Yarrowia lipolytica: one gene and its partners. The protein of the gene in region 2 purifies or fractionates together with the protein of the main gene of each other region. This does not show direct contact. Links are inferred from orthologs where the notes say so. Each region holds a gene or a part of one and is shown on either strand. Other genes may lie near its edges.

Evidence for each region.
Region 1: the proteins of YALI1_D25370g (region 2) and YALI1_D35966g purify together in Schizosaccharomyces pombe (affinity purification with mass spectrometry; 3 studies listed by BioGRID, with this or other methods). This does not show direct contact. The link is inferred for Yarrowia lipolytica from reciprocal best matches to the Schizosaccharomyces pombe genes cdc5 and prp17.
Region 3: the proteins of YALI1_D25370g (region 2) and YALI1_B23609g purify together in Schizosaccharomyces pombe (affinity purification with mass spectrometry; 3 studies listed by BioGRID, with this or other methods). This does not show direct contact. The link is inferred for Yarrowia lipolytica from reciprocal best matches to the Schizosaccharomyces pombe genes cdc5 and cwf14.

Annotation. Positions count from the first base shown.
Region 1 is NC_090773.1:3,592,482-3,602,988, reverse strand, and holds YALI1_D35966g (uncharacterized protein), read right to left. Parts: upstream 6,449-10,507; coding exon 4,973-6,448; downstream 1-4,972. Other genes in the region: YALI1_D35965g (uncharacterized protein), read left to right, coding at 6,576-7,484; YALI1_D35945g (uncharacterized protein), read left to right, coding at 8,585-9,835; YALI1_D35911g (uncharacterized protein), read right to left, coding at 10,125-10,507.
Region 2 is NC_090773.1:2,533,082-2,544,314, reverse strand, and holds YALI1_D25370g (uncharacterized protein), read right to left. Parts: upstream 7,294-11,233; coding exon 5,134-7,293; downstream 1-5,133. Other genes in the region: YALI1_D25419g (uncharacterized protein), read right to left, coding at 113-2,434; YALI1_D25400g (uncharacterized protein), read right to left, coding at 2,762-4,270; YALI1_D25359g (uncharacterized protein), read left to right, coding at 8,465-10,006; YALI1_D25337g (uncharacterized protein), read right to left, coding at 10,031-10,627. UniProt on the Schizosaccharomyces pombe protein: Involved in mRNA splicing and cell cycle control.
Region 3 is NC_090771.1:2,357,091-2,366,605, reverse strand, and holds YALI1_B23609g (uncharacterized protein), read left to right. Parts: upstream 1-5,640; coding exon 5,641-6,084; downstream 6,085-9,515. Other genes in the region: YALI1_B23622g (uncharacterized protein), read right to left, coding at 2,920-4,356; YALI1_B23603g (uncharacterized protein), read left to right, coding at 6,142-6,216, 6,273-6,419; YALI1_B23579g (uncharacterized protein), read left to right, coding at 8,654-9,515. UniProt on the Schizosaccharomyces pombe protein: Involved in mRNA splicing where it associates with cdc5 and the other cwf proteins as part of the spliceosome.

The DNA of each region.
Region 1 (10,507 bases), about 1.1 Mb from region 2:
GCTGCATTGTATAGAGACAGGGAAGTTTGGAAGTAGAAAGTAGACTGTGGGTAGATGTGAATTTGAATTCCAAACTGGCGTACGAGCTCTGTATCCTACCATTGGCTCGATTAGTCACCTTTTCTCGCGAATATTACCCCCTGGTTTGGAGTGCTTTTCACAAAGTCTGTATTTATGCCTCGATCGGGTGGCGGCACAGGATATCAGCGTTATATCCGAGAGAGACCTCACTTGTTCCCACTCGCCCGATTGAGGACCAGTCTTGAAGGCGATTTGTACTGCACGAGATATCATAAAATGGAAACGTCCTCGATATCTTCCTCACTAGAATGTACAGTTTATGGTACAGTACATACTGTATTGTATGTATTGGTAGACCACAAGCGTAAGCACCGCTGTCGTGGCGTTATCAGCGCGCGTTGCTGCAATCGGGCCGTTACTGAGCTGTACATACAAATAGTTCGACCTTACATGGAAAATTACAACATTTACCCTTTTTTGAATTATTATTGATCATCAGCAGGCCACATAGCCTCCTGGCTTTTGTACTCGTACTGTACTCGCGATGTCGCCCCGAGAGAAATAAAGCCCCTGCCCCGCTCTGAGTATTAGTTACTGTGGTTGGCCGCTACCTGGTGCTGAAAGGTACACTGTACAATACAAATAAACCAGGTGGTGATCAATGTGGAGCCCGATTACTCTCAAAACGTTACCAGGAAAGGCGGAGTAGGTCACGAACACATGGAGGAGATACCGACAGAACCATAATACAGTAACAATGTACAGTAGACCTGTGGATCGCCAATTGACTGAATTGCGAGGTCTGAAACAGCTTGAATGTGACTTCCCTCCCCAAGCTCGGTAAGATCCTGATACTACTGCAGTAAATTAATATATTTGGCAAAAGTACAAGCACTGTACTGTACGTAAGTTGCAAAAACGGTGGTTGTTGGAGCCAGTGAAACATATTAGCCTCCCTAGTGATCGACAGTTCTTGTGCTTTGTCTCCAGTAACAACCGACATGAATGGCTTACTTTTTTTTATTATAACAGGAGGAGGCTTAAATGAAACACTATGTTGTGAGTTTAAGTCGATGGGTAGGAGGCACCTTTAGAACCTGGCTGCTGTGGACACGAAATTGCAGTATATGCTGAAAAACAAAACGACAATCCACGAAGAGAGTACCAAGTCAGATATAATAACAGGCGACTCTCTCTCTATCTCTCTCTCTCTTTCATTCTTACTATCACCAACGCCATTAATCAGCCGAGGTCCCGATATGTGCGTCTGCAGACGCGCATAACGGTCGGCCGGATATGTAGGCCAAGTACAAGCAACAATCGAACGAGTGATACGTTGTTCAAGGCAGGGGACCTTGTTCCCTAATATATCACACAGTTTAGGTTCTTTCTTTCACATACAGTAATTATATAGCCATCAGTCTAAGGCACGCGAATGATAGAAGTGGCCCCAGAGTCAAACAGAAGAAACTCATACGTGAACAGACTTTTAATAATGTGAACGTTAACATTGAATACACACAGTACAGTACAGTACCGTAATTACGCTTGTAAGTCAGTATGTACATCCAAGTACAGTACAGTACCGGCGGTACTTATAAGGGTCAGAGAGAATGCATTGTTGTTAATGATTAAGCTGATTCGTACATATATGCACTGGTGGTCCTTGTCCATTGCCCTATAACGTGGATGTACCAAGAGTCATCTCATTAAACCGGTCTTCAATAGTGTCCTGTTCCAAGGGAGCAGGAGGTGGAGGGGCAACCTGCTTGGTAGTGTTGTAGAGAGAGTTGTAGACCGAGGCAGGGAGTATCTTCTGAGCATCCCACTCTCTCACGCCGTCAAGAAGGTTGTTGGCGTTGTTGATCAGACCGTCTTCTCCCTCAGTCTCACTCTCAGCCTCTAGGTGTCTGTGCCATTGTCCCACCGAATAGATGGACTCTGACGAGTGACTGTTTTTGCTGCGAGGACTCCCAGGAGTCCCGGGTCGCGAAATTTCAAAAAAGGCAGGCTCGGCAACCTCCCCGGGCAGATGCAATGGCAATGCTGTAGAGGAGTTAACCTCCGAAAGAGGAGGAGAGAACTTGCCTGTAAAAACAGAGGGAACACCGAGAACAGCAGGCTGCTCCTTCTGCTTGGGTGCCTTGGCGGGATGGGGCTGGTTATCAATAAAGTGTGTTTTGACAAGATGATCAATCACGGGCCAGCCGAACGCGTTAGCAAATCTTCGTCGCACCACGATGTTGTTGTGAGCATCAGGTTCGAGTCGACATAGCACCTTTCGCCACGACATTTCGTGGTGATACTCTCGGGCGATACGCTCCTCCATCTTTGCCTTTTCCACCAGATGCTTGTCGCCTCCATCGCTGATACAATTGAGCGACTTTTGCTTTTTGAACCGACGGGGAGGAAGATCGGACTCATAATAGACACGGTCGTGAATGATAGTCTCAGCACGCGATTCGGGGTCACAGATGAACTTATGAGAGGGAAGAGGCATGGCCAGAACAGAGGCAGCTGACTCGATCACGGAGCTCTTGGGAGGAGGTCTCATCGTAGAGTCAGACATATTTCCCTCGTCCTCATCGTCAGACATTTTCGTCTGAGACCGCAAGTAGATCTTAGAGGGTTTCTTTCTGTGTCCGTGAGGGATCATAAGAGACATGGCAGCCTGGATTCCATGGAAAATGCCCTTTCCCAGCAGGAACCTCCTGGGTCTGTTGACTGCCTGCTGGCTGTCTTCAAGAGTTAGGGATCTCCCCTGCCTGTGGATCGCGAGCAGCCTGTTTGGAAGCCTCATCGTAGACCTTGGCCTCTTCAGCAGAAGTGGCGTTGATATCACCCGTGGGTTTACCAGTATCACTGGAATCCTTCTCCTTATCTTTCTCGTTACTACTTCCCTTGTCTCCTCCATCTCCTCCAGGGCCCCCTCGGTCCCTATCGTTAGATCCATTGTCATCACCCTTTTTGGCTGACGCAACCTTACTCAGACCCTTCCAGTCCAGATAGAGTAATGCGGATGTTCGTAGTGGCACAATACCATCGTTAAGGGCGTTGGCGTACACTGTTCGAGTCTGGAACTGTTTGAGCACTTCGTGTGTGTGTCCTGTAGGCAGCATTCTCAGCAGAGGCTTGTATCCGGGGAGCGGCTTTTTTGTAAGACCAAGATCCTGACCTGTTCTGCCAATAAAACCAATGTCCAGTGCTAGCCGCACATAAGCTGGGTTCTCATTGCTGACTCCCAGCAGGGGAGAGGCTAACGTAATCAGATGGTGTGGTTTGATTCGATCGAAAAACGTGTGGTCATGGGATCGAATGTATGCAATGGCGTAGATCATGATGAGACCTCCTAGAGAGTGGCCAATAAAGGAGATTTTGGCAGTGTCCTTGGTCACCAGCTCTTCCATTATATGTTTGGCCACTCTTCGACCCAGGTATCGAACTCCCCGCTCGGTCTTGGCGGCGTTTCCATGGTAACCTCTCACAATGACGTTTTCTCCCGTTTGTAGCGCAGCCTCGTCAATCTTCTCCTTCAGATAAAGCATGTCAGCTCCCGTGTTTGAGTGCAATCCATGCGTGATCACAACGAGATGCACGGGTTCGTTCGGTCGAGGCACTGGCTGGTGCCATAATGTCACTGTGTCTTGTCGTAGCACCGTAATGTAGTCCGAGAGCATTCCCATGGCGTTTCCGGAGTACCGGTGTAGGTGTTCACGCGTCTCACCCACCAGAATCTCATAGTTGATCTCTGCCGAAGCAGAAAAGATTATCTGAGATACAATATCCACGGTCCACGTGTAGGACTCCTGTAGCTTGTTCATATGCAATTCCACGTAGTAGTTTTGGCCCGCCTTGAGTTGCGGTTCGAAAGAGGGCTGGTCTGCCGAAACGTAGCACTGCTCGTTCTGGTTGTATGCTTCGGGAACCACGTGAACGTAGAGGAGAAACGGACCCGTGAGATATGCTGCTCGCATCGGCATAGACTCTGTGTTTCTGATTTTGAGCCACAAAGACGATGGGTGACCCAGAGGGGACTCGGGTGTCATGTCTTCGGGGTGTTTGATGGGCGAGTTCATGGGCGATTCGCTTGGCGTGTAGGTGATCTTATACCGCTGGACCCCGCCAATCTTGACGAAGTCGCTGTCGCGATACAAGAGCCATTCAGGCGCGTTTTGTGTCGGGTTCATGGGCTTGTCGGCGAGGAAGCTGAGATTTTTGGAGTTGAAGGTTGGCCGCATGCTTGCTGCACCCCAATGAAATACGGTTAGCACACGTGAAATGCGTGAGTAGAATTCTTGGCTGGTGTTATCGGAGTGCGATATAGGCATGATGGATAAATCGGCATTATTGCCACCACGAAAGACGTGCTAATTTCACTGGACAAAAATGATCTCCTTCAAATGAGGGGCAATGCATTTACCAGGTTCTCAAGATCGGAAAAACAAGAGTTCTTTGTCTTACCCCCGCTATAAACTACAAATGTTCCCCAACAGGCCTCTCAGTCCGATTTTGGTCTAAACTAGCTTGTACTAAGGTGCCAAGGTGTACAATATACCACATACTGTACATACTGTACCGTGTACTTGTGCACGATTCGATGTTCATGAGGAGATATATAGCTTTACGATTGCCTATTCAGTCATCTATTTGTCACTTGCATGCGATTAATGCCTCATGAGACACGTGCCTCTTACTACAACATGGGCACAAAACCTGAGACTCCATGTCCAGTAATAGTGTTTCGTATGTTTCGTGATTACGGCGCAACAGGCAATTGTACTCATACTGTGCAGTAGCTGCAAAAATATTTGTTCTACGTACTGCACCCTGTTTTAACAGGCTACAGCACTTCTAAACTACAGATACAGTGCACAGTATAGAGCTTTCCACCCCAGTCATTACCTACAAGTAGAAACTGTAGTATATCGATTAGTGTACAAATACATTTCTCCTACTCCCATAGCTTGATCTCACTGCCTCTACCTGCAGTAACCAGTTTGCTGCTCTCCTGGGGGTGGGCAGCAATGCACCGAAGGGCACTATCGTGGGCCTTGAAGCTACTCTTGAGCTTACAAGTCTTCCAGTCCCAGAAATAGGCATTTCCACCTGTGTCTCCAGACATGAGGTATTTGCCGTCCGCCGAGAAATTGACCTCAATGGCATATCCTGCTGAAGATGCACCTGTGAAGGTCTTCTTTCGGTTCTGTCTGAACCGGTCCTTGGCAGCAAACACCACAATCTGGTTGTCCATACTCTGAGCAGCCACGTGGTTGCCAGAGGGATGAATCTGTACAGAAGGCATAGAGTGCTGAGCAGGGTCAGCAATATATTTGATGGGGACGTTAATTTGGAGATCCCAGACTCGCACCGTCTTGTCGTCTGATGTGGTCATGAATCTCCGGTTCTCGTCCACAAATGTGATTGTGTTCACAGGTCCCAGATGATGGTCATACGTCTGGATAGTCTCCTTCGTTGTGATGTCCCAATGGATGATCTTACGGTCAGCCATGGCAGCAAGAAACTCATTGTTGTTGTTGGGGTTGAACTTGACCGCGTTGGGGATCTTGCCCGTGGAGAACTGAGCCAGACACTCCCCTGATTCTGTATCCCATAACTTGACACTCTTGTCGTATGATGCAGACAGGAACCTCGTACCATCATTGTTAAAAGATATGTCTTTAACAGCACGCGAGTGTCCAGAGTATGTGCGGATGAGCTCGCGCTTGTGGTAAACGTCCCATAGCTTGATTTTAGAGTCGTTACCACAAGACAACAGCAGATGACCAGCCTTGGGGAACAAACGTAGTGCGTTCACACCACCAGTGTGACCAGTATACGTATGGGCCTTTCGGGTAGGAACATGCCACTCGCTCTCCCCAGGATCACGTGTCAGCTTGATACCCAAATCTTGGGGAATGTGCATGAAAGATCGTCCCAGGTAGTCTTTGCCCTTGACATGTAGAATAGAGCTCTCCTTGACGGTTTCAGGCTCAGTCTCGGCATCTGCAATGACAACATTGGTGTTGTCCTCAACGTCATTCACGCTGTCGTCCTCCTCTTCCTCCTCACTAGTGCTTTCTTCGTCGTCATATGCTGCCCATGGTCCCTTGTATGCCTTCTTGCCTTCCAAGACACCCACCTCTCCCTTTTTGTGGCGTTTTAACGGCCGGTTGTTCTGTGTATTGTCTCCACCGACATGCTGGTTGTGTACAAGCTGGCCCTGGGTGGCGATGGATGGATCTAACGCCACTCCCGTGCTTTTGAAATCTTGGTGTTGCTGTCGGAACGTGGATGCGTCAAACGCCTCCTTCTGTGCATGGCCGGTCGGTGTGTTGTCGGCTAGAGTGCTTCTTTGCGCGGGCTTGTGCACCAGCTGGGCCTCTTCGGGCGATTCGTCAGCCTGGGGGGCCGCATTGAGGAGTGCCATAGTCGCTGTGATGTCAGGTTAATGTTCATGCATATAAAAATTAAGACTTTCGAAGAAGCTTCGGGTGTACTTTATCTAAAATATTTTTTGCCCGTGTGACGAGCTTTTACACACACGACACACAATAATGCCCAAGAGAGCTGCCGAAGACCAGAAACACCCCGCCGAGACCTCGTCGGAAGACGAATACGACGAGTCCTACCTCGAAGAGGACTCCTACGCTCCCGACTCTCCTGACGATCCGACCATGGAGGACGACGAGGAGGTCCCTGATACCATCGATGTGGACTTTGAGTACTTTGATTTCAACAAGGACATTGACTACCACGCCATTGGAAATCTGCTGCGACAATTGTTGGATTCTGACTCAACCTCGTTCAACCTCTCTGAGCTCTCCGATATGATCCTTGAGCAGGAGTCTTGCGGAACCACAATTAAGACCGACGGAAAGGAGTCCGATCCCTTCGCCATCCTCACAGTCATCAACATGTCCAAACACAAGGACAACAAGAAGGGAGTTATTGCTGCTCTCATTGACTACTTCGTCGCTCGAACACAGGACCTTCCCGAGCTACACAAGCAGATGCGAAAGTTGCTGGGCCCCTCTTCCACCTCCAAGGTTGGTCTCATCATCTCTGAGCGGCTCATCAACATGCCTGTCCAGGTCGTTCCTCCCATGTACAAGATGCTTCTTGATGAGACTAAGGATCAGGACTTTGATTACTTCCTGGTGCTCTCGAAGACTTTCACTGAGGCCGAGACCTCTGTGGACGAGGAGGACGAGCGGCCCTCTAAGAAGAACAAGAAGGGCCCCGGATACAAGCCCGAGACCTACTACTTCCATCCCGAGGATGAGGTTATTCAGGAGAAGAGTACACAGTACGGCTCCTACGCATTTAAGAAGGCTTCCCAAGAGGCTGACTCCAAGCGAGCCTTCCAGGAGTATGGTATCTTCCCTCAGGGTCACTTGATGCTTTTCAAGGCCAAGGATCTGGAGGCCATTGTGGCCAAGATGGAGGTTGAGTTTGCCCCTTAAACAGGGTCCAAGTACCACTACAAATACGAGTACGAGTACGAGTATCTTAAAGATAACTTCATTCATGTTGCAGTGCTACAGTATGTACAATCGCGAGAGCACAGATAGATTGGTCCCCCATAGCCAGATTGGAGAACGATGTAAAAGGTGACTGTGGCAGCTTACTACCGCTTGGTACGAGTAGTAGGACACTTTTGGGATGGCCAATAACTAGAATTTAGAAGTATTAATGTATTTCGTGACTATAAAAACAAATTTATGATACAACCAGTTTCCTTGTGGCTTCCCTTGAATTGTGCACATCCTTTACTCTTTCAACTACAACACAACGTATACGCTTACAGTAGCTGATTTGCTCAAGACATTCGCCACCCAGCTTCTTTGCATACATCTGTGTGTGGACCAAGTAACACCGAAAGACTACCACGCTAAAGCCTGATCTGACGGCTGACTAAGCCATCAAAGTGATTATACGCCCAAACCCCACCGATATCATCAAGGTTCACAAAATGACTTCTCCGGGTTTGTGCCAAGGGCCAAATTGTAAGGTAATTTTGCACATTCAGTCAGGGCCTGCAGATAGTATGCGGTGTGGGGTGAGAATGAGAGCGACTTCTGTTAACTGTGGCAATTGTTTACACAAACTGAGGGCCAATTGATCTGATGCTGAATGTGGTAAGGGCAGACAATACTTTCAAGTCAACAAGTTATGAAGGAAATACCTTCCCGACGCGCCTGCCAACTTCTTTCGGATATCGCGCATGGGTAGAGAACTTCTTGGGTGGAAAATCTAGCCGAGGTCGCCCGAGGTGTACAACGGTCCCAGACGCCACAGACAGTCTTGAAATTCAACAAAAAGGGGTCTTGATCTAAAAAGTGCTATAGGGTAGTGGGGTGTCTAACTTGTGTACCAACAGTTTAATTGCCATCTCGTGGTGGTCATCCCATCCTACAGTACTGTAGTGCGTATTGTACCCCACAGTGTGAAAGTTTGTGAGCATCATGCAAGCGTGCTCATAGCAACATCACCACCCAAACCCCATTCGACCAAGCACACTACGCCTGTGAGCACATTACAATCACAGCGGCAAACAGCAAAAATGTCGGATAAGGAGAAGAAAAAGAGCAGTGCGACGCACGCGGCCTTCCCTCCCTCAACGGCCTCGCAGCCTCAATCAATGAGTCCCCTGCTGTCTTCCACTCCCCCAACAGTCACCAAGGCACTAGCTCAAGCATACCCATACATTCTGGCCAGCGACAAGGTGCTGGGTCTGCTGACATGGACTGAGGATGATCAATGGCAGAGCTTTCTGTTGGTGGCCGTCTACGTGACCGTGGTCATGTACTACGAATACTTGGTCATCTACTGTGGTCACATTCTTGCCGTGGGCTTCATCTGGGCCTTTGTGTACATTCGACAAAGTGTGGAGAGACGGCAAACATCGGAGCCCTCTCTGGATGCAATTGTGCACACGCTGACCAATGTCACCACCAAGGCAAATCTTCTGCTGCTTCCAATCACCTCTCTGAGCCTGACCCCCAGAGATGTGACCCGATTGGCATTCACCACGCTCTTCCTATCGCCTCTGTATATGTTTGGTGCCTACTTTTTCCTTGGACCCCGAAAGTTCCTGCTCACTACCGGCGTCTTCTTCCTCACCTACCATTCCATGGCTGCCCGAGTCACACGAGCAGTCATCTGGAAGTCCAAGGCCATTAGACTGGTCACCTTCTACCTCACTGGACTCGACTTTTCCAACACAAAGCGAAACCTGGGCGCCTTTGGATTCACCCAATCGCCCCTGTCGGTGCAGTCCAAGGACGGAAAGCCCGTGCGGTTCACCTACGTACTGTATGAGAACCAACGACGATGGCTCGGTATTGGCTGGACCGCCAACCTTCTGGCCTACGAGCGAACTCCTTGGACCGACGAGTTCCTCAACGAGGTTACTCCTCCTTCTGAGTTCAAGCTGCCCGATACAGAGGGCACCGGCATGAAGTGGCAGTGGGTCGATCCTACTTGGCGATTGGACTGTACCAACGATGGCGCCCTGGTCATTATTGGCAACAAGGCTTTGAGCACGCCCGATCCTTCTCCCTCCGAGGGATGGATCTACTATGACAACACATGGAAGCGACCTACTGCAGACGACTCTTTTAGCAAGTACACCCGACGACGACGATGGGTGCGAACTGCTGAGCTCATCACCGTCACCAAGCCCACTGATGTGGTGGTCACTGTCGAGGAGGATGGTGTGACTGACGCTGCTGGAGATGTGGAGATCATCACCACCGAGACCGAGGAGAAGGTGCGAAGACGAAAGGGCATTAGATTCGAGGAGGACTCTTAAGAGATAATTAAATATATGAATGTATCATTTTTTTACGCGATTGCGTGTAAGAGAGGCGGCTATATGAGCTTGTTCACGTAATTCAAGGGTGTGTCTGTGTGTACTGTATACAATTACCGCCGTCTGCAGTAGGTATTGTATGCGCACACACACAGTAACGGTATGTGTACAGTGGCTACTTACTTGTACAGTACTTATACTTGTACAAGCGCCACATTAGTAGAATAATTCGTGCTTAGAACTACGTGTACTATTTTTCTTCTTTTTTGATTTTTTTTTGTTATTTGATTTAGATATGGGACCAAGGATCGATGGCAATGACGGTTCCGAATTTCTCGTTGCCAATGAAAAAAACCTTGTATTCATAGCCCCACTCGTCCAGCCAGGCCTTCACCTCCTTGGTCAACATGTCTGTTTTGGAAACAACATGGTAACCCACACCAGAGATCGCATACACCAGCTTTTTATTCTTTCTGTACTGCTCCTCGACTCCCAGAAGAATGTTCTCCAGATGCATGACACTGGTATCAAGCTCAAGCCCATGAAGGTCACAGAAGATCTCTCCAAGGTCATCTCGGTAATTGTAGAGAATGTCAGAGGCCTTTCTACTGGCTGCAATGAGTTCCTGCTGGTGCTTCTGACCCTTGTTAGAGTATATCTTGGCAGCATCAG
Region 2 (11,233 bases):
ACTGCATTAGTCAGAAGTACAGTATGTACATACATACTTCTGTACAGACGTACATACTTGTAATAATGCTGAGTTAAGTAAATGTCAAAATGCCAGACTCGTATAGCCATAATTACCCAAACCGAATACCATCCTCGGGGCTCCACATGCTCAAGTTGCTGGCTCTCTGAGCTCTGGGAGCTGCTAGGGGAGTGGAGGATGTATCGCTGTGGCCTCCGCTATGTTCATGCTCAGACAAGTGCATAGACGACAACTCGTGCTCGAGAGAAGCTCCCTCCATCTTTCGCTCGTACACAAACTGCTTACAGTTCTTGTGGAAGATGGAAATCTCACCCAGAAGCTGGTTGTAAAAGTTTCGCCCAGCATCGAGGTGGTCTTTTTGTTCCTGGTAGCTAAAGTAAGCAACCTCCAGAGATTGGATGGCGTTCTCTCTATGGATGGCAGCATCGTTCATGTCCAGCGAGGATCGGAAATCCTTGTTGGCAACGTCAAGCTTCTCTAGCACCTCCTCCTGAAGCTCCTTTTGTTCGGAGGCCCAGTCCTGGTCAACAGTGTATTTCTCCAGCTCCTTGGATGTGATGGGCTCGAAGTCAGCCAGGGTCAGACGCAGGTTGGCGTGCTTCTCTCGAATGAGCTTATTCATGTGATACTCCAAAACAGGTTCAATGTCGTCATTCTGCTGCTTTAGAGACAGTCGATCCATGTACTGAGCTCGTTTGATTTCCAATGACTCCAGATTGTTCAGCAGATCTCGCAAGTGGGGCACCTGCCGCTTGACCTCGGGAGACCGAACTCCAGAAACAGACGATGGTAAGTAGTTCTCTAGAGCACTTCGCCCTGAGTTGAGAATCGACAGGAGGTAGTCGATTTCATCCAATTTACCTCGAACAAGCTTATCAGACGCCCCTGCATCAGCTAGATACTGCTCCAGCTCTGCCAAACGGGTGTAAAGGTGGGCTCCAGCCTCCTTGGAGTCGAATCTGGTCCATCCAGAGTTGTTTTTACGTCTCAGCATCTCGTCCTCGCTTCTTTCGTCGTCAAGAACAGCCTTAGCGGCCTCTAGCTCCTGTCGCGCGGTAGCTGCCAGTCTCTGGACGTCCTTAACGGCCTCTCTGGTGGTCTCAAGACCTCGCTCACTCTTGATCTGATCGGAATGAGCAATGATATCGGCAGGAATACCCTTGGGCTTCTCGACCGAGTCCAATGATCCCGGTAGCGCCATCTCCACGAGAGCCTGGTTTTTGCTGTTGGTGCAGTTCTTCAGCTGACTCTCAATAGATGAAACAATCTTATCACATTCCTGAGAGTAAAGAACGAGGGCTTGGTGAAAGGCAAAGGGCGTGAGCTTGACAAACAGCGGAAGACCCAGCTTGTCCTTTGTGAGAAACTCTATGGGCTTAGCCAGCTCAACGGGAGGAGTACATTTGACCATCAGTGCAGGTGTAATAGGAGCGAGAGCGGTTGTCTGAGGAACAGACTGGAGATAGATAAGATTGTTATCCTTCTCGGCCCGTTTGAGATCTTCGGTTACTACGTCGATGATTCCGTTCAAATCATCGGCCACGCTCTCCACCAGGTACCTTCTGAGCATACCCTTTCCTGTCCCCTCCTTGATGGCATTAAGAGCAGCCTTGAGACGTGCAATCTCCTCGCCATATCTGCATCCATCCAGTGCGTCACGTGCCATTCGGTAATGTGCGACCGCTAGAAAGTGCTGTCGTTTGCACGTCATGTGATGCACCCATTCGCTTCGGACCTGCGGGCTCTTTTGGGCCCAGGCGAGCGCCGAGTCGTAAAGAAGAGATACCTGCTGCGCGAGCTTTGCCACCAGAGAGTTTCGTGAGCCACTCAGCAGCGATCTCTGCCAGAAACATTCCTGTGCTTGGGCCAACATGAGATCTCTAACACAGCAAATGGTGTCATATTCGAGTCCTCGCATGTTGAGACTTTCCAAGTCTGGCAAGCCGTTCTCAATGAGAATCTGGAAGCATCCTGCTGCCATTTGAAAGTAATTGAATGACATCTTTAGACCGTCTGCGTCCTGCCTTCCCTCATTGACGCCCATCTGACTGTACAGCGAGCCCAGGTTGTAGAGAAGATTGCATCGCTCGAAATGAAGGCTTTGACTGATGACGGGGGCGGCATTGGCGGTGTAGGCCAGAGTTCCGTACCACATGAACTCCAGGCTATCGCATCCGGCTGGAAACTTGGTAGTCCAGTATGTCAATTGGGCGTAGTACTTGGTGAGGTGGTCGAGATAGCTGGCGTTTGGTTGCGGGTTGAGAATGTTGTTACGCAGGTCGTTGGCTGTTTTCAGGTCGGCTGTAAACTTGTCTCGAGGTTGGTTCAGCTGCTTCTCGATGGTGTCGCCCAGTCCTGTGATTAGATCGACAGCTTGTGTCTCCCGAAACGGGATCCAGATGATGTTTGGCATGGTCGCAAGACGCTCTTGGTGTTTTGGGGTCGTTTCCGCACTTGCAAGCAGTAGCTGGCAGTGTGTTCAGCAGTAGGCACGAATCGATGTTTACAAGTTGCTGATTGAGTTGTTGTATGCGAGAGCTTATTGTTGATGTGATAAGAACATAGTAGACAGAGTGTAATTGGACTCTTAGTTGGGAAATTAAAAATCAAACTAAGAAGCCAAGTAATTTGCAACATGATACTTGACCGCTCATTGACTACAGGATGTACTTTACTTGTTCATACTCTCAACCACAGGTAGTACTCGTTACTCGTCACACACACACCCTACATTAATCAATTATCGAGTATCGCTCGAAGAACGTCTTTCAATGTTCTCAGTGACCCCTTTCTCTTCGTCCTCCATCTCTTCGAGCTTCCTCTCGTAGGCATTATCCTGCTCAGAGCCTCCAGAGATCATCTCTGCCTGTCTGTTTTCTGGACCCAGAAACGTGACACAAAGCACAAAAAAGAAGACACAACCCATCAAAATGGCCATCACCAGACTGTAATTGTACACTCCTGGTTTTTCGTTTCCGAATTTGTCATAAAGGGGAAATGTTTCTCCAATAGTGGCTTCAATGGTTGAAGAAGCAGAAGAAGCCAGGTTACCCAGCTGGTAAGCCACCCCTACCATTGACGATCGAAGGACCGGAGGGGCAAGCTCTGTAAGATGAATAGGGATGACTCCCCAGGCTCCCTGGACAAAAAACTGCAGAAAGAAGACTCCAGCATTGATTCCACTGTTGGTGACAAAGGCCCAAGGGTAGATCAGCGCTCCCCCTATCACACAAGAGATCATGATACACAGTCGTCTTCCAAAGAAAGAAGAAGCGTGACCCACAACAAGGCCACCGGCAATAGCTCCAAAGTTGGCCACACAGTTGGTAACAGTAGATCGGTCTTCGCTGAATCCAAGCTGTTTCTTGAGCATGGTCGGATACAAGTCCTGTGAGCCATGAGACATGAAGTTGAAGCCCCCCATGAGAACAACCAGGTAGGCAAACATGAGCCAGTACGTCTTGAAGGTCATCTTGATGCCTCGCCAGAAGTTCTTTTCAATACCTTCGGCCTCTGCTGCGTTCTTTTTAGAAAGAAGATAGGTGTCGGTTTCAGGAAGACATAGTCGGAAGATGATGATGAGAACAGGAGGACCCGAACCGAACCAGAAAAGAGCGCGCCACCCAAAAGGAGAAGTATCGGCAATGGCTCGGGTGAACACGACACACAACAAGTATCCGAATGCATAGCCTTCCTGTAGCAGTCCCGAAATGACTCCTCTGGCCTGTACTGGGCAGTCTTCGAGGGCTGTAGCTGCTGCCATGCCGTAGATACCCCCCATTGCGATTCCAAACAGAGCTCTGACGGCAAGGAACTGCTTATATGTCTGTACAAACCCGGTGCCCAATTCCAGGACAATAAACAAGACACAGTTGGTGATGAAGGGCCATTTTCGTCCAAAACGATCCGACAGCATTCCGAAGATGACAGCTCCAACAGATCGCAACATGAGCACAAGAGTGATACCCCAGGTGATACTTGTGACAGACACATGGAGACTCTCGGCAATTTCAGATGCAACCAGCGACACAGAAAAGAAATCAAACGAGTCCCAAGCCCAGCCACAGAATCCCACAGCTACAAACAACCACTGCTTCCTGTTCAGAAGTCGAAGGGCAGGAATCGGGTTGATGTGCTTTTTTTCCTCAACCGTGAGCTTTGGAGGCTTCAAAGAAGTGACTCGAGTGACTAGGTACCTCTTGATGTTCTTTGGAGACAGATCTGGTGCTGGGAAGTTGTCAAAATCCATGCTGACATGTATACAGACAGATTGAGCGAGTAGACAGGTCTATATATACGCCTGGATATCAAAAGTCGTGTTTAATCATTAAATGGCGAGATCATGACCCCTCAGGCGTGAACTGCTTTTCCGCCCTTTAGTCTAGCGGTCCAACCACAGTCTTATTGGTGAAACATTGTGGCCATGTGTAGTCCCGGAATGGATAGAGACAGTATTGGTCTGTTATTGTCCCATACGAGAGCCAAGAAGATACTGTGGAGTCTTATATAATGACATGCTCTCAAGTATCTGCAGCCTTGCGCAACGTCTCACTCCTCAACGACAGCTTCTCCAACTTCGTCAGTCCAAATTAGTACGTTGAGTCCCCGCCTCCGGTCCGCTTCTACACGAGTATATACGTAGTTATATACATACTCGTAGCTCTTGTATTATAAATCGACTGTCGGAAAATCTTTTTAGACCAGAGATAGGATTAGAAATGTAGACGTCAAGTATGTACTAGCGATGATAGTCGTCGAGCCCAACCTCTGGCGCACTTTGACTGGGGGCCAAATGAACAGTAGCCTGATAGCACACACGTAGGGGGAGGATTGACGTCTTAATAGATCACAAGTGCATCATCTGCTGCCGCAATCGTTCCTCATTCCACCATTCATATAGTCAATAAGTATACAAACGTATTCGCTTAGAACTTCTCCACTTCCCCACTAAAAAGTACTAAACGACCCGGATCGCCACTTCCGGAAGGATCCACCTACTTGTGCTGTATCTACCCGAGCGCAGGAGCACCCCGGAGCAGAGGCCTTCACCAGCCCTGTTGCTCCATCAGCTGTTCAAAATGCACAATAAATAATTACTTAACTAATCGACTCCTAATGGCCACCCTTGGCGGCCTGCTCCTTAACCTTCAACTCACGGTATTTATCCTGCGCGGCACGTTCCTTCTTGACGAGCCAGTCAACCTCCTCCTGCAGAGCCGCGCTTCGCTGCTCAATGGCAATCTCCTCCATGCGGGCTAACTCGGAAAACACGGCAATCTCGACCTCAACAGACTCAAGTTGAGACCACCGAGAAGTCAGCTTTTTAGATAAAGTAGCCTGGCGCTTGGCATACGCCTTAAACTTGTCCACCAGAGCAGTCTCTTCGGTCTGGCAAGTTTCCGCAAGAGAAGTTAGCGTTTCAACAAGCTGGTCGGATATGATTTCCACACGGGTCTTGAACTCCTCCTCGGACTCGTCGGAACGAGCAACTGTTCCAGGAAGAGCAGCCGTCTTAATATCCTCCTCCTGCACTTCTTGCTCATCGCCCTCCATCAGTTCCATCTCAATCAAAGTTTCGGCATCCACTAAGTCGTCGAGAGAGAACTCAGACTGCATTAGAGCCACAGAATCGCCTTTATTGGGAAACCTAAGCTCCTCCTCTCTGAGAAGAGCAACTACTTCTTGACCGATAGCATCATTGTAAGTAACTTCAGGAACAGTAGCCCGGGGAAGACCTCTCTGAAGAGTCTGAGAACGAGTCTTGAGAGCTTCTTGTCGCTCCTGCTCCTCGGCAATTCTTTTCAATCGAGCTTGTTCGCCCTTATCAACTGGCAAGTTATCTGTAGGCTTCTTTTCCTTATCAGCTTCCTCATCTTCCTCTTCGTCCTCCGCAGTGATTTCGAAATCGTTCTTGGGCTTAGGAAGAGAGGCCAGTTTCTGGCGCAGAATAGAAACAGGAGTAGCTTCGACAGATCCAACCAAACCCAGAGCGTCCCGCTTGATAGGAGTCATCCCAGCAGGAGTAGCTCCTCCTATATCGGATCCAGCAGAAACACTAGTGACAGCCTTGTTAGAAGGCAGCTTGGGGATTGCAAATCCATCTTTATCAGCTTCAGCTTCGTCGTCGACCTCTTCCTCGGTTCTCTTACCAAGCACAGACCGGTTCTCCATGGCCTTGATCTCCTCGATTGTAGTCTTTACTTTCGACTGCTGAACTTGAGGAGTTCGAATGGAGTCGTCCACAATCTTGTCATCGTAATCACCCGACAAGCTTGACGCCACTCCGTCTGCATACCGCTTATGTAGAGCTTCACCCTGAGCTCCCAGCTTCACAATCTCCTCCATTTCCTGATCCTGGATCTGTGGCTCAGGAAGATTCAGTTTTCGTCGCTTGGAAATCTGATCTTGCAAGTCCAACTGTGCCAGTTGAAGTGTTCGCTGAGCAGACGCCGTCTTTTGCTGCTCCTTTTTCTTCTCCTCATCCTCCTTGGACAAAGTTGCCTTGTCTCGCTTTTGTGACGGCCCAGGTGCGTCCGCAGCTGTGCGGTGCATTTGTTTGTGTTGAAGACGCTCCGAGTCGTTTTCATGCTCCTCCTCGGCAGTTGAGTAAAAGCCACGGGCCGGTTTGTGTTCAAAGGGAATATCGGCGTTGTAGTCCATCTCATTCTTCTTCCTTTTACTCAGTCGAGTGTCGATTCCTGCATTTTTGAGCTCTCGTCGCTTCTGAAGCTGACTGAGCCGTCGCGAGTCCTCTAGCATCCGTTCTCGATCCTTTCTTTTCGCCTTCTTACCCTGAGTGTTGGCCAAACGAGCTCGCGCTTCACTCAGCATTTCCTTCTCGTCTTCGTCCATGTCCACGGCGTCAGGCCGGGCAGGCTTGGTTTCGGGAAACTGGTCACCTTCAGTGGCGGGTGCAGATGCCACCGCAGAAGCGTCTTCGCCCTCCACCTCGCCAGCAACTTCAGCTAACAAACGCTCGTATCGCTGAATGCACTGGTGTGCAGTTCGCCCCACAAACGGGGCAATCGTTCGCCATTGTGCAGGAAAGATCTTGGCCAGATGCAGCAGCTTCTCGTCCTCCTCTCGCGACCACTCGATTTTCTTGATGGTCGGATCAAGCCACTCGGTCCACCGAGCCTTGCACTGTTTGGCTGTTTTTCGAGCCAGTAGAGACGACACTCGCGCCCATTGGTTCAGACCATATTTGGAGATGGCAGCCCGCAGGATTTCGTCCTCGACGTTTGTCCAAACTCCTCCTTTGACGTACGCCATGATGTTTTCGTGTGTGTGATGATAGTGGTGAGAAAGTTCGGAGGTGAGCTCATGCAGAATATTTGGTAACTAGAGTTTATCAAAATGATTCAGACGGGAATCGAACTGACCAAATATATGAGCTTGTAGAGTGCTGGAAAAGAAATATATAATATTACAGTATATAAAAAAAAAACCATTAGAATAAAGATATATTAAAAAAAAATTAAAGATATGTGAAAAATCATTAGAATTTTCTAAAAAGAACTGCTGTGAATTATGTAGACCCAATCATTCTCCAACATAAATATCTGAACATACAGCATCTTCTACGCGAAATGAGCTGTCCCTCGCAGTTGGTCCACAAAACTCTACATCAATCGAGCCTTCCAATCATCTCAGAGGGAGTAAGAAATGTCAGTTTCCTGGTGGCTCTCCTCCATCTCCATCACACGGTCTGTCTGAACTTTGACAAATGACGCGTTTCGAGAGGTAAACTCGCACAGTGTTTGTTTGAAATGAGCTGAAGAGGGAAGAGGATACAAACGCAGATTGCAGACATTTTGAGACACTATGAAGCGTGTATGATAACAGAAACATGTGCTGAATCCTGGGAAGCTGTTGTATCGTACCCTCGTCCTGTACATACTTGTATAAGGCGCGCGTGTGTCTGATGTTACTGTATGTGCTCTGCATGTATCATTATATTGACCAATGTGTAATGTCAGGAATATGCCACAGAAGAAGACGATAAAACGTTTGGGTCTTATTAAAACACATACCCCCTGACTTGTCGTACCGGTGAAGCCGATAATACAGCAGCAGATCACGTAGCTCTGCAATTTCCCCCTTTTAATGTATTCTTGTATCCGCACTGGTCGCACTTTATCATGCATATTTCAGGCATACCCATTTCTCCGGAAATGTACATTTTGGGGGTGGGAATGTGACGTCGTGTTGAGGTGGTTGGAGCGGGTTTGAAGACGAGAAAAAGACTGGAAACTGTTCAACTGGGCAGATGGGATTGATTCCAAAAAACGCCCAGTTCCAAAAATCCCTGATTTACCCCATTACTCGGCCTTACGCCGTCTGTTGTGTCTACACTCAATAGGACATTAGCTCCGGATGACAGGCTGGATGTACTGGTATACATGGTATACAGGATTGGTATTTAACACACACTGGCTGACACATGTCTAGTTCCGATGGCGTCGCTCTTCTTCCTTCACAAACGAGCTTTGAAATGTCACGGTTCGATATCGACGAAACAAAATCCAAAACAGACGACTCCAACGGCTCCCAGCCTCTGGGGGGGGGGAGGAGAACATGGAGAAAGCAGGTGAACTTCGCCTTTGTCGCTCTCTTCACTCTCACATCTTTTGCAACAATGTGTCAAGCATCCGTTGTCTGGGGACCCCAGACAAGGGATCTGGGCTGGCAGTTTGAACAGCTCAACAGAGGCTACGCTTTTAGCATAGCTGGCCAGGGTTTGGGGTGTCTTCTGATGATCCCCGTGGCCATCAAATTCGGAAGACGGCCGGTCTATCTCTTTGGAGTGGCTCTGTCATTGTGCACTTCGCTGTGGCAGGCGCAAATGACGTCTCTCCATGAGCTGTACACAGTTTCGTTTTTAGAAGGCATGGCTGCCAGTTTGACCGAGGCGTGTGTCCAAATGACGATTGCAGACCTATTCCCGGTCCAGAGCAGAGGCACCTACAACGGCATGTACATCATTGCAGTTTCGGTGGGCAACTTTCTCATTCTGGTGCCTGCTGGAGCCATAGTCAACCAGTGGGGCTGGAGAGCTGCGTACTGGGCGATTGGCCTGTTTCAGATGGTCGAGTTGGTTGCATCTTTGTTTCTGTTTGAAGAAACTAAACCTGGCCATGTGTCTGGTCAAAAGTTGAGCATATACCCTCGGTCATCTTCAAAGAGTGACGAAGAGGAGAGAGAAACATTGGTTAACGACATGGAAAGACACAACTCGTATGATACCGAGAGAAGCGCGTCCAGAGGATGCATCAAGTGCACCGACTCGTTTCCACATATCCCGTTGGTCACAGTTACTCCTGGCTGGTCGAGTTTCTTCAAGTCTTTCTACACTCCGTTTGTCCTACTGGCTTCGCCCATTGTCGCGTTTGCCGCAATCACCTATGGATTTTTGCTGCTGGCTCTGTCAATGTCGTCGGTAGTGACTTCTCTCAAGTTTGCAGAAGCCCCCTATAGCATGAGTCCCTGGTCCATTGGTCTGGTGTTCATTTCTCCGTTTGTGGGCATGACCATGGGCTCCTTTTTCGGCGGGTACTTGTCTGACTGGGACATTGTGCGAAGAACAAGACTCAACAGTGGCGTCTACAGTCCACAGATGCGACTGAAACTCATCTACCCAGGTCTATTGGCCGTCACGGCAGGTCTGCTAACTTTTGGCATCTCGGTGTCAAGAGGAGTTCATTGGGTGGTGCCAACTCTTGCGTTTGGAGCTGTTTCTTTCGGATTTGGAAGCGTGGGATCCATAGTATTGACCTATCTGATCGACTACAAGGAGTCCCTGGCTGCTCAGTCTCTGGTTGCTGTTGTGGTGGTCCGAAACTCCATCTGTATGGTGGAGTCCTTCTCCTTGTCTCCGTGGGTGGATTCGGTTGGGGTTGACAATGTGTTCATCACAGCGGGCTGTTTCTCGCTGATCCCCATCTTTTTGGCATTGGCGATTGAGCTGTTTCATCGCAAGTCTTAGCCACGAGACATGGTTAGACATAATTTATAGATAGATATAGACATAGACAGACAGACAGAATGTATACGCGATACAATACGACACCAGGGCACGACGGACGCTGTCCAAATGCACAATAGATGCAATAGAACTTTTGCGAGGCTTGAACGGTGTCCGAATGGTAACTCTTGGCCATCTACGACTTGCTGGTCGGTCGTCGATCGTAATCACTGTCTCACTCCTCTCCACTTGTTGACACTGGACGCAGGAACAAGTGTATGCACAACAGTCTAGTTCCACGGACAAGAGGTGGCATCTACGGTGGACAAGTATTGAGCAGGGGTTGGGGTCTTGTTTAGCGTGGATGTTCTCATTTGAATGCCGTTTCTGGTCCTTTATTACCAGCGCCTTCTTTGTATCCCGCCCGACCCAGCACTCGCTTCTAAGACATTTGTGGGGATGTGGGGTTACGAGTAGAGTAATTAGATTGCAGAACGCAGATGGGCCAGAAACTGACGTCTGGCAGGTTATCGTAAGTATCGTGATTACTACCACCGGTGCCGGAAGGTACAGTGCAAGTAGTGCCAGCTTCTGAGGATGAATTACAAAGAAGCCACTACTCGTAGCTCCAATTCTCGCCATAACGCAACAGCTGGCTAGAAACTCGCTTACCAGTCGCTAATCACTATAAGACATTGTCCAAATGACCCTTAGTGTCCGCTCTCGGTTAAGACAGAGCTATGTGTAGCGCGACAAGGGTAGTAGTACCACTACGACTATACTACGACTACATTGTACGATACTCATAGGCCAACATCTTGTGGACAGTGGAACATTGCCTCCATACCGACAGTGTGGCATGCCCCGCTTGTTCCGCTTCTTTTCCCAACCCCACCACCACCCTAGTCTGTCTTTCTTCCATCCTCTTGTCTCGGTTTTTTTTCAGACTCCTCCCCACCCCCCAACAAAGTTCGAGCATAGACTGGGTAAGCGAGGGGTGCATCCTACCAGCATGTGATTGAGATGAGCTGGGACCATGGGCTGTTTACGGAGGCGGGAATAAGCAGCGTGGCACCCCGAACACGGAGCACGCAGCTCCAACGGGATATTGCGCGCCACAAAAACATGCAAACTCGCCCGGTTCGCTCCCGCAAATCGCATCTCCGACATTCTCGCCCATGGCAAAACTAAAACCCCGGTAAACTCAACGCGGGGTGTGTGTCTAAGAACAGCTCCTTTATAGGCTTT
Region 3 (9,515 bases), on a different chromosome or scaffold from region 2:
CAAACCTACAAGCCCAATCCTGAGGGGTTTAAAAGTACATGGGGTAGTGCGGCTTTTGTTGCGAAGGGAGTGTGGAATGGTCCCATGTGCTTACGGCGTATTTAGGGCGGATTTCCAGCGTCTCATTGGCGTGGATATACGGCAGAGACAAGATGTTCCTGACTAAAAAAGAACAAAAAGAGAGCAACGCCTTATCATAGATGATTGAACGGGGGGAGAACCAAAGGTCATGGTCGACTCTGGAACTGCTTCTCTCAACGTTCAAGTCGCGCGAACTTATTCCCTTATTGCCACTTTGTGCGCCAAGTCTTCCATACACACTCTGTATAAGCTTACAGTAGGACAGACAAGATCTATGGCCGGAGAATAGGTTGAGTAGGGTACAACTACAAGGTGAGCAAGGTGTGCGAGGTGTATACAAGGTGTACAAGAAGGTGGCAGTCTTGTTGAGCATTGGATTCGTCTTGCTTGTTCTCCATCTGGAGGTGTTACCGGGCTCCCTGTCGATCTGTTCAATGTGGGCATTTGTCACGATCCGCGGACGCCACGGACCTGGGGACTAGACCAGTGGATTGCGGACACCCGCAAACCCCCAGAAATCAACTGCTGGGGCTTCTTCTCCGTTCCCTTTTCTCATTTTCAAGCCCAGCATGAACTCTGTTGACGAAGCAACATAGCCCAGATATGCAAGCGGTTTAAGTTGCGGTTAGGGCGGCCAGTAGATACTCGGGTCCAGCGCACCGAGCTGGTCCGGAATGGAGGCGGCTGGGGCGTTTGCCGGCAGGGTTTCCAGCTCTTTAATGTCGTTTGGGCGGCTTCCAGATGTAGTAATACTCGTCGCGCTTGTATGCGGTCATTAGCTCCTGCAATACTAGTCTAAAAAACACGAGATTTGACAGGTGTGATCCCATGCCCTCTTGCACACTTTGTCGGACTTCAACTTTGCGAAAAACAGCGTTTCGCTAAGCCCTGGTGCCGCATGCTTAAAGGTGGGCGGGTTTTACGGTGGAGGCAATATTGGCCCGGAATGAAGACATGTGCGCGACCCTGGAGAATACGAGTACAGGGGACATGTTTGTGGAGACGCAGGGAGGGTGCTGATAAGCGAGGACAACCCACAGCTTGACCAGAGCGTGCCCAACAGGCCCCGATGAAAAGCCCTTCATACAAACCTCCGAACAAATCATAACCTACGACCGGGCATTATCTAATACTGTTTGCATGTGTACAGACAACCCTATCTTTGTATGTCACTGTCAACGAGCTTCCAAGGAGTTGTAGAGGAAGTCTATCGTGAGAAGCGGCTGACAAGAAGACGGGTGGAGGGGAGCCGGGAGTTTGTGGGGGATTTGTGTGACAAAAGAAGAAGTTGAGAAGACATAAATTCTCTCTGAAACACCAGGAATCCATTCATATACTCAGCTTGTCTGTCCCAGCTCCACGAAGGGAATTGTAGACAGCTCCCCTACTCCGCCTCTATAAGCATTTACTTAAGAACGTTAAGTAAAAGTTAACTTATGGTGAGCTTATCCAAGTAAGTTGGAGGGTTGTTGTCAACAAAGACTCCAGGGTCCAATTCTAATCCTTCACAGCAGAATTTGCGGCGTCATGGTCTGAATTTGCACTGACGTGTGTCGAGTAGTCTGACTTGGAACTGGAGAGAGGTAGTAGACCTGTAGTTAGCACCGTTAACACAGTGACAGTTATGTGTTCCACCAGAAGCGGATGCTACAAGAAGTCGTACAGTACGAGTACCTTCCCCCGACGTCTCTTTTCGATGCCAGAATCAACCTGTCAAAGTTGCAACTGTCTAGTTCAAGTATAGATAGTTTTCTATTAGAAATATCAATCTCAGAACAACTCTTGCAATGGGGTATTTCTTCTGCAGATTTTTGCTGGAATGGATAGAACCGACTAAGGAGATCACATTGGCTGTCTCTATCACCTTCCAAGTCATCTCTATCTGACATTGGACGACAAGCGATGCAGTAGGTAGTGTACAATTCAACAGGAAAGTAGTTAGTGACTCCAATTGACCCAAAATTACAAGAATGTTCTCCAAAGTAGATCCGTTATACCCAGAATCGTCTTCTGATCAGTTTTATATACCGTCAGAACCCACAAGTTGTTTAAATCTTGCTCAATTGATGATTCTTTCTAGGTAGCACAGCTGATGTATATACTGACTAATCACTCAGATTGAGTTGAAATATCCACCAATTATGACGAGTATGGCACGAGTGTACAAGTATGTACCGATAAAATTACTGTACCAATGCAACTACCAACGAGTGCTTGTCTCCAACAAACATTCTGACACCATCTCTGGTCCATGGCTGCTCACCGTTGGACAAAAACAAATTCTGCCGCTTCTAGACAACGAAGATTCGGTCCGAAATCTTCTCCTCAGAAGAGACACCCGAATTCAGATTTCAGCTGTCTGTCTCGATGCCAAATTCTACTGTTGATAACCTCGCTCATGGGGTAAACCTTTTCAGACCACCGCCGATATAGGTATCAAGGGAGGAGCTTGCGATGAGCCGCTCCAGACGGTAGTATTCTTGAGTCTGTAGCGTTGCTTATCGCATGGATAATTACAAAACCGTTGGGTTGTGAATTAGTCTATAGTCGTGATATCAGACAGATGGAGAAAATTAAAGAAAAATAAATAAAAGAAAAATAAATAAATAACTAAACTAATAGAAATTACCTACTTGTATTTGTTTCACCAATGCAATCTCCTTTCAAAAATGTTCAATAAATAAATACTTTCTATATCGACAAATGCAAACACCAGACATACGAAGTCTGCGAAAGACCAGGGCAAGACCAGGGCAAGACCAAGGCAAGACCAGGGCAAAACCAGGGCAAGACCAGGGCAAGACCAGGGTAAGACTAGGGCACGACAAACGACCATAATCACAACTCTCTCCTCAAACCACCATTGTGCTCACTGCGCCACGTGCGCTGCTCCTTCACTGTCTTCACTCTATAGTTGAAGTCGCCAAACCGCTGCTCCCGTGCATCATAGTAAAGATCATCGTCATCATACAACTCCTGCTCAGACACAGGCTCAACAATGTGGGTGGCGAGATCGGTGGCGCCGTAGTCACGTGCCTTAGAAGAGTCGTCCTCGTTTCGCCACTGGTCGAACGAGTCGTCGATTTCGGCGATCGACGCAATCTGAAGCAGCTGATCTGAAGCAGCGACATGCGACTGCTGACCCGCAAGCAGCCCGCTGTGTTCTGTGGCGTCACGTGACGACGACGACGAGTCGCCGCTGCCCTCGTGGTCATCGCGTGACTCGTCCGACAGCCAGTATTTACCTCTTCCTCCATCCGTGTATCTGAGGCCACTCATGATCTTTCTGACTCGACTGTCTGCATCTGGGTGGTCCACAATGACACTTTCCACACTGTCAAAGTTCCTGTAGGTGTACCCTTTTCCCCAGAAGGTGCTCTTGAAGTCATACATGAGGTCTCCGATCCCCAGCACGTCTCTGAGAGCCAGCCAGACAGGTAATCGGGCAAATCCACAGTCTCTTTGGCAGTATTCGTCGTGAGGAAAAGCCCACATGTGCAAAAGAGCAAAGGGAGTCATTTCCAGACACATGAACCAGTCCTGGAGGGGTGCGGAGGACTCCGGCTGAATAATGCCCATCAACTGAGCCAGTGCCAACACCACCCCTTGCCAGTATGAGAAGAAGATGATGAGTTTGATGCACAGAAACTTGGGCCAGGGATTGTAGGGTTGCAGATCTGTATGGAGACACATCCAGAAGATTCCCAAGGCGTACAGACTGAGTGAGACACTAACGTTATAGACAATACCGATCCATGTGTATCCACTAGTCAGGCTGATTTCCCCTTGTTTGTAGACTCCCAGAATCTTGCAGATAAAGATGGCCACAGAAATCACTGGTTTGATCCACACGTACTGCAGTACCGCTCGTTTGACGGTCAGAAATTCGTGAGGGTCGGAAATGTTGACCTTTCCAAACAGAGTGTGGAGAGGAGCTCGTCCCTGGGTGGTGAAAATGATGTTTCGTTCGCCGCCGAGCAGATTGGTAAGCAGCGAAAAGAAGGTGTAGAGGGTGAAGGCTTCGTAGATTTCTTTGAGAGCTGATAGCACAATGTTGAAGCGGGCCAGAGGTCTGGAAATCTGGTCCTGGGTCTCCAGAAGAGACAGCCATGACGAGAGCGCAAATAGAGGAACCAGAAACAGAATCCGAATCACCAACCGCTGGTCAGCGGGACGGGTGTATGTGTAGAGTTGTAGGAGAATGGATATTGTCGAGATGAAAATGGCGATAAACGTCGACCATGTCGCCACGTTGATGAGATATTGCGGTAACATTGCGTCACTAGTGTTATGTCACTGTTGTTGTGAGTCCGCTGGATGGGTTGCTGTGATGACTAATACCGTGTTGTAATTGCTGTTGTCTGTGTCGGCGCTGCGTTGCCGTGGTTACCTTTGAATGGGAGGGGGGCGTGTTTTTAACCGGGCTCGGCCGTAACGTCGTGGGGCGGCGTCTGACTACGCCTAGTCTGATCCCGTGATGGTGTAGTGCAGAAGTGTACTTTTTTCTACTGCTGGATAATATAGGGGTTGAGTTTGGGAGTTGGGGGAGGGTGGCGACAAAGTGGAAAAGTAACAATTTGGGGGAGATTTTGATATCATCAGAATCAGAGGAATGGGAAGAGTTTTCAGATATAATTGGATTTTCTATTGGACTATTATTGGGTGTTTTATATGGAGGTTGTGGGGAGAGGGATGGGACTGTAGTTGGGGACCAATAGAGTTACTCACTATTACTTGGAAAATTACTTAAACATTGGGCGCGTGGAATAGTGCTATTAGATAGACGTTCAACAATTGGAAATGTAGCCAAAAAGTGTTGTATATATAACTTCAAATATGAATATCATAGGGCTATCTCTTCAATTCACCCACTGAGTCATGTTCGGTTGCTTTGGGTGGCGAAAACAGCAGAAACAGCAAGTCTAGAAGAAAGAGAGGGAGAGGAAACTGGAACAATCGGACACACTTCAGAGAAGATGTCAACAGCAATGATACCGTCTGTAGCCTCATTTTCTCCTCTTCCACCAATGATTTTGACGTCAGTACCTTATCAGAAATTTTCTGTTGATAATAGCTTCACTGCATGAGAGTCAGGTCCGTCACAACTGGGTATATTTGTATGGGATCAGGTGCTAAAATTCTTACTGTAGCATTACAGTCACTCTAAGAAGATAATGGGCCAAAAATCACTCAAATAGCTCCATTATTGGCTACATTAGATCCACCCCTGTTTTCCCCCTATGTAACTCAAATGCATTTTAGCTGCAGCAAAAAAACCAACCTCCAAAAAATCATCACCACTTTCCAAAACAACCAAAACAGCAAATTCTGATCCGAACCTCAGAAAGCACAAACACGTGACGGACTCGGCGATACCTAAATCACGTGAAACACCATAAGGGAGCCGATCGAAACCCCTGACGCGACACGAAACTCCAACTGCATTTATCGACCATCACATCACATCCACAACGCCACCACCTGGATATTGATCGAAGAGAAAAAGGGGCGCCAGATACCACCTGAAACCTTACTAAGCATCATCAGACACCGCACAAAATGGTGAAAATCCGCACTTCACGATCGAAAGCGCCTCCAGCTGGATTTGACGACATCTCCGATATTCTGCAGGAGTTTGGAGACAAGCTAAAAGACGCCCAAAACGCTCCAACCGAGGGAAAGAAAAAGAACCAGTTGTTATGGGACATTTATCGCATCCATCACCAGCGGTCTCGATATGTCTATGAGTTGTATTACAAGAAGGAGGCCATCACCAAAGAGCTGTATGCATATCTTCTGAAGAAGGGGTATGCCGATCAGAATCTCATTGCCAAGTGGCGAAAGCAGGGATACGAGAATCTCTGCTGTTTGAGGTGCATTCAAGGAAAGGAGAACATTCACGAAGGAACTTGTATCTGTCGGGTTCCTCGAAAGGATATCAAGGATGACAAGCCGGTGGAGTGTGTGACTTGTGGGTGTCGGGGTTGTGCTTCGAGTGATTAATCGACGAGTGAATGAGCAGTGAATCACAGCCACTAGTCGCAGCCTCGAGTCACAGCCATGAGTGAATCAACGAGAGTCCCAAGACTGGGATACAGCATTATCAGGTTTGGCAGCTGCACAACAGCTACCATTGTCTGACTATTGGTACAGGGCTTAGTTACTGAGTATCATGATACAGTCTGTCAAAGTTTGTGCCAGTATCTTTCGCAGCTGGAGGATACGACAGCCAAGTACCACCGACCAACCGACAGACGGATCTCCTTGGGCTCATACCGTCCCGGAGACAATGGGTGAACTCCAAGAGAAGGAAAAAGGATACCGTTAAGACTTTGTAATATAACTTATGGACTGGGGATGATTCCAGTAGAGAACGTATAGGCCCTGGAATATGATGTAGACGACTGTGATGGGAAACATGATCTTTGCCGAGTTTCAATGTTTCAATGTTTCAATGTTTCAATGTTTCAATGTTTCAATGTCTCCACCTGCCCACCTGATTTGCAAGGTGCCATCTCCGACACCCTCAGGACAGGAGTAGAGTACTGTACTCCAGCTCTGCGGATTCAGCTGAAACCAGAGATACTCGCGGGAGAGACCCTGCTTCAACCCAAGCAGGACCTAGCTCAAGCTTGCCCTGCAGGGTTCAGATGTCCAGAGGTGTAATTTTCTTGCCCTACAGAGTTCGGAGTTAACATTCCAAACTCAGCCTTAACGCCGATTAGCTAAGTTGCTCTCCTTTAACCTCACACGACATTGCAGTGTGGGACGAAATACCCTTCCCTTGTCTTTACAGTTGGTTTTGTGTCTCTGCTGTTTGTGTCTAACGTCCGACTCGTTTCGCTTGAGTTTTCCGCCGGTCATGTGACCGTTGGAGCTTACCTGGGTGGGACGTTGCCATGTTGGGGTAATGGACCTGGGGTTTGGCAATTTTTATTCCAGCGGGGGATAATTTGGGGGTACCTGAATGGCCCAGACCAGACTGCTTCCCCATCGGTCGCCTCATTCCGGGGTTGTAGTCGAGATCAGAACCCAGGACCAAAAAACAACAGTCAGAACCCAATAGCTTAAAAATGTGGACCGAACAGGACGTCGGAGATAAGCAAGATGGCCACAATATTGATCTCGGACAGACAAGAAATTAACGCCGTTAGCTTTGGAAGACACTGTTTACTCAATACCTGAATTTTTGGACCCTTCTGGCCCGTTTCAAAGGGACCTACGCCCTGCAGAACAGTCTACAGTGGTGCCAATGCTAAACGAGCTCTACTACGATTGGAGGAAGCAGGAACCGGGGAGTAAGACATTTTTCGCCCAGATTCCGCACCATTTGATTGCTTTGATTTGGTCAAGTCCAATTCTGCATTCCGTCAAAGTGGGGTGTAGATATATGTGGGGAAGTCATCACCCATACAGAAGAGCTTCTAGATCTCAGGTATTTGTGGTTCCAGACTAGAAAATCGTGGCTATACTCGAGATTCAATTTTTTAAGACTCGCCAACCTCTATCGCCTCACTTACCACTATACCCACCTAGCTCAAGCCAATCTTACCCACTGATAGGCCTGTGTTCAACTTTACCACGTCCCGATCGGGGTGTGTTTCAAAGACAATTGGTGTATTATTTCCCACTAAATGGGTCTTTTTCACCGATTGTCGATCTGCCGCTCATTCCGAAAGCGCGGCGTCCAAAAATAGCCCGATGTTTGAACATGAACAGAATGCATCGAATCATGGGCAAGAAGCGATGCCGTTTGATACACTCATTAAATCGCTCTAAGACTTGTCTACATTCCCACACAAATGCCCCACAGTATTACACCAGAATGCTAGCGGAGAGATCGACGCTACTTGTAGCTCCTGATCTAAGCTCCGGACCAGATCAATGGTTTTTTTCTTCTTTTTTTTTTTTTTTTTTTTTGGTATCAGACTGCGACTACAAGCGCAATACCACAAGAGAACTCTCCCTTCTTTACATTCTTTCTTGTCCTTGTAATTCCACATTCTCACTCTCATACCGTCCCTGAACACACTTCCAGTGCATCTCGACAAGATTAGTGGGTGAACAAGTTCAAAAAGATGGATGACTATGCCATAAAACCGGCCCTATGCAACAAAACCGATCTTATGCAATAAAACCGATCTTATGCAATAAACATGCCTATTATTCAGCTCAACTCCACTCACTTATTACCGACGAGACGACCATGTCCCAGAAGCGAACCCATCCACAGATGAGACAAGAACTCAGCCAAATAGCTGCAGTACTTACTTAGACACCCCTCTCCATGATCACCCTCATAATTGTAAACACAATAGAAGACTGAGAAGCAGTATCCAGTGTCTACCTCGAAAAAATATGGGCTAAACTGGTCTTATTCCTTCTTGGGAGGTACTTGGGAAGTTCTCGACCAAGTCTTGTACATTCCAATAATGAAATGGTTCGGATATGATGCCTGGTTATTCAAAATCTTGCGACGGCTCAAGTCTCGCATCTGTACATATAACCCAGGAAGTTCCCTTCTTTCTTCCCCAGAAACAACAAGTTCATACACTCACCAAAGTCTTTCCATATGAAGTTCTCTGCCTTCGCTTTCGCCTTGTTGGTCCCCATGGCTATGGCCCTCGTCACCGACGACCCCGAAGCCCTCAAACAGCTCACCTACCCAACTGTCTTCGGAGGCGCTCCCGATTTCTATTCCAGCCCGGAAATTGCAGCCTCGAACATTGTGTCGTCGTTCAATACTTGGCCTCAGTCCAATATGGCTGGTGCAAAGATTCCTGCTGCCGCTGACCTCGCTCTCAAACCCGACAACGAACATCTTGTGGAGGCCCTCAAGCTTCAGCAGGAGTATGTCGCTGCAACTAACAAGCCCGATTGGAGAGTCGCTGTTCAACCTCTTGATCCTAACATCCGAGAAGTTTCTCAGTGGTTGATTAATCAAGGAACCCAACCCCCCACCGGCTCAGACTACGAGCACGCGGCTCGTAATGTCTATCTCATGTACGAGGCCCAGATCGCAGCTGCCTACACCGAGCAGCTGGGTCTTGCCCAGATCATTGTCGACTCTCTGCCTGTCAAGCCTGTGAATCCTGAGGATCCTACCAACCCGGACGAGAAGCCTGTGAATCCTGACGAGAAGCCTGTTAATCCTGATGAGAAGCCTGTGAATCCTGATGAAAAGCCTGTGAACCCTGACGAGAAGCCTGTGAACCCTGACGAGAAGCCTGTCAACCCCAATGACAAGCCCGCCAACCCGGACGACAAGCCCACCAACCTTGACCCTTCCGTCATTGAAGATCTTGAGAAGGAGCTCAAATACATCGAGGATGTCCAAAAGGAAATCGAAGATAAACTGAAAGAAGCAGCAACCACCGATTCTGAATTGAAGGGGAAGATTGATGATTTGAACAAGCAGATTGAAGATCTTAAAA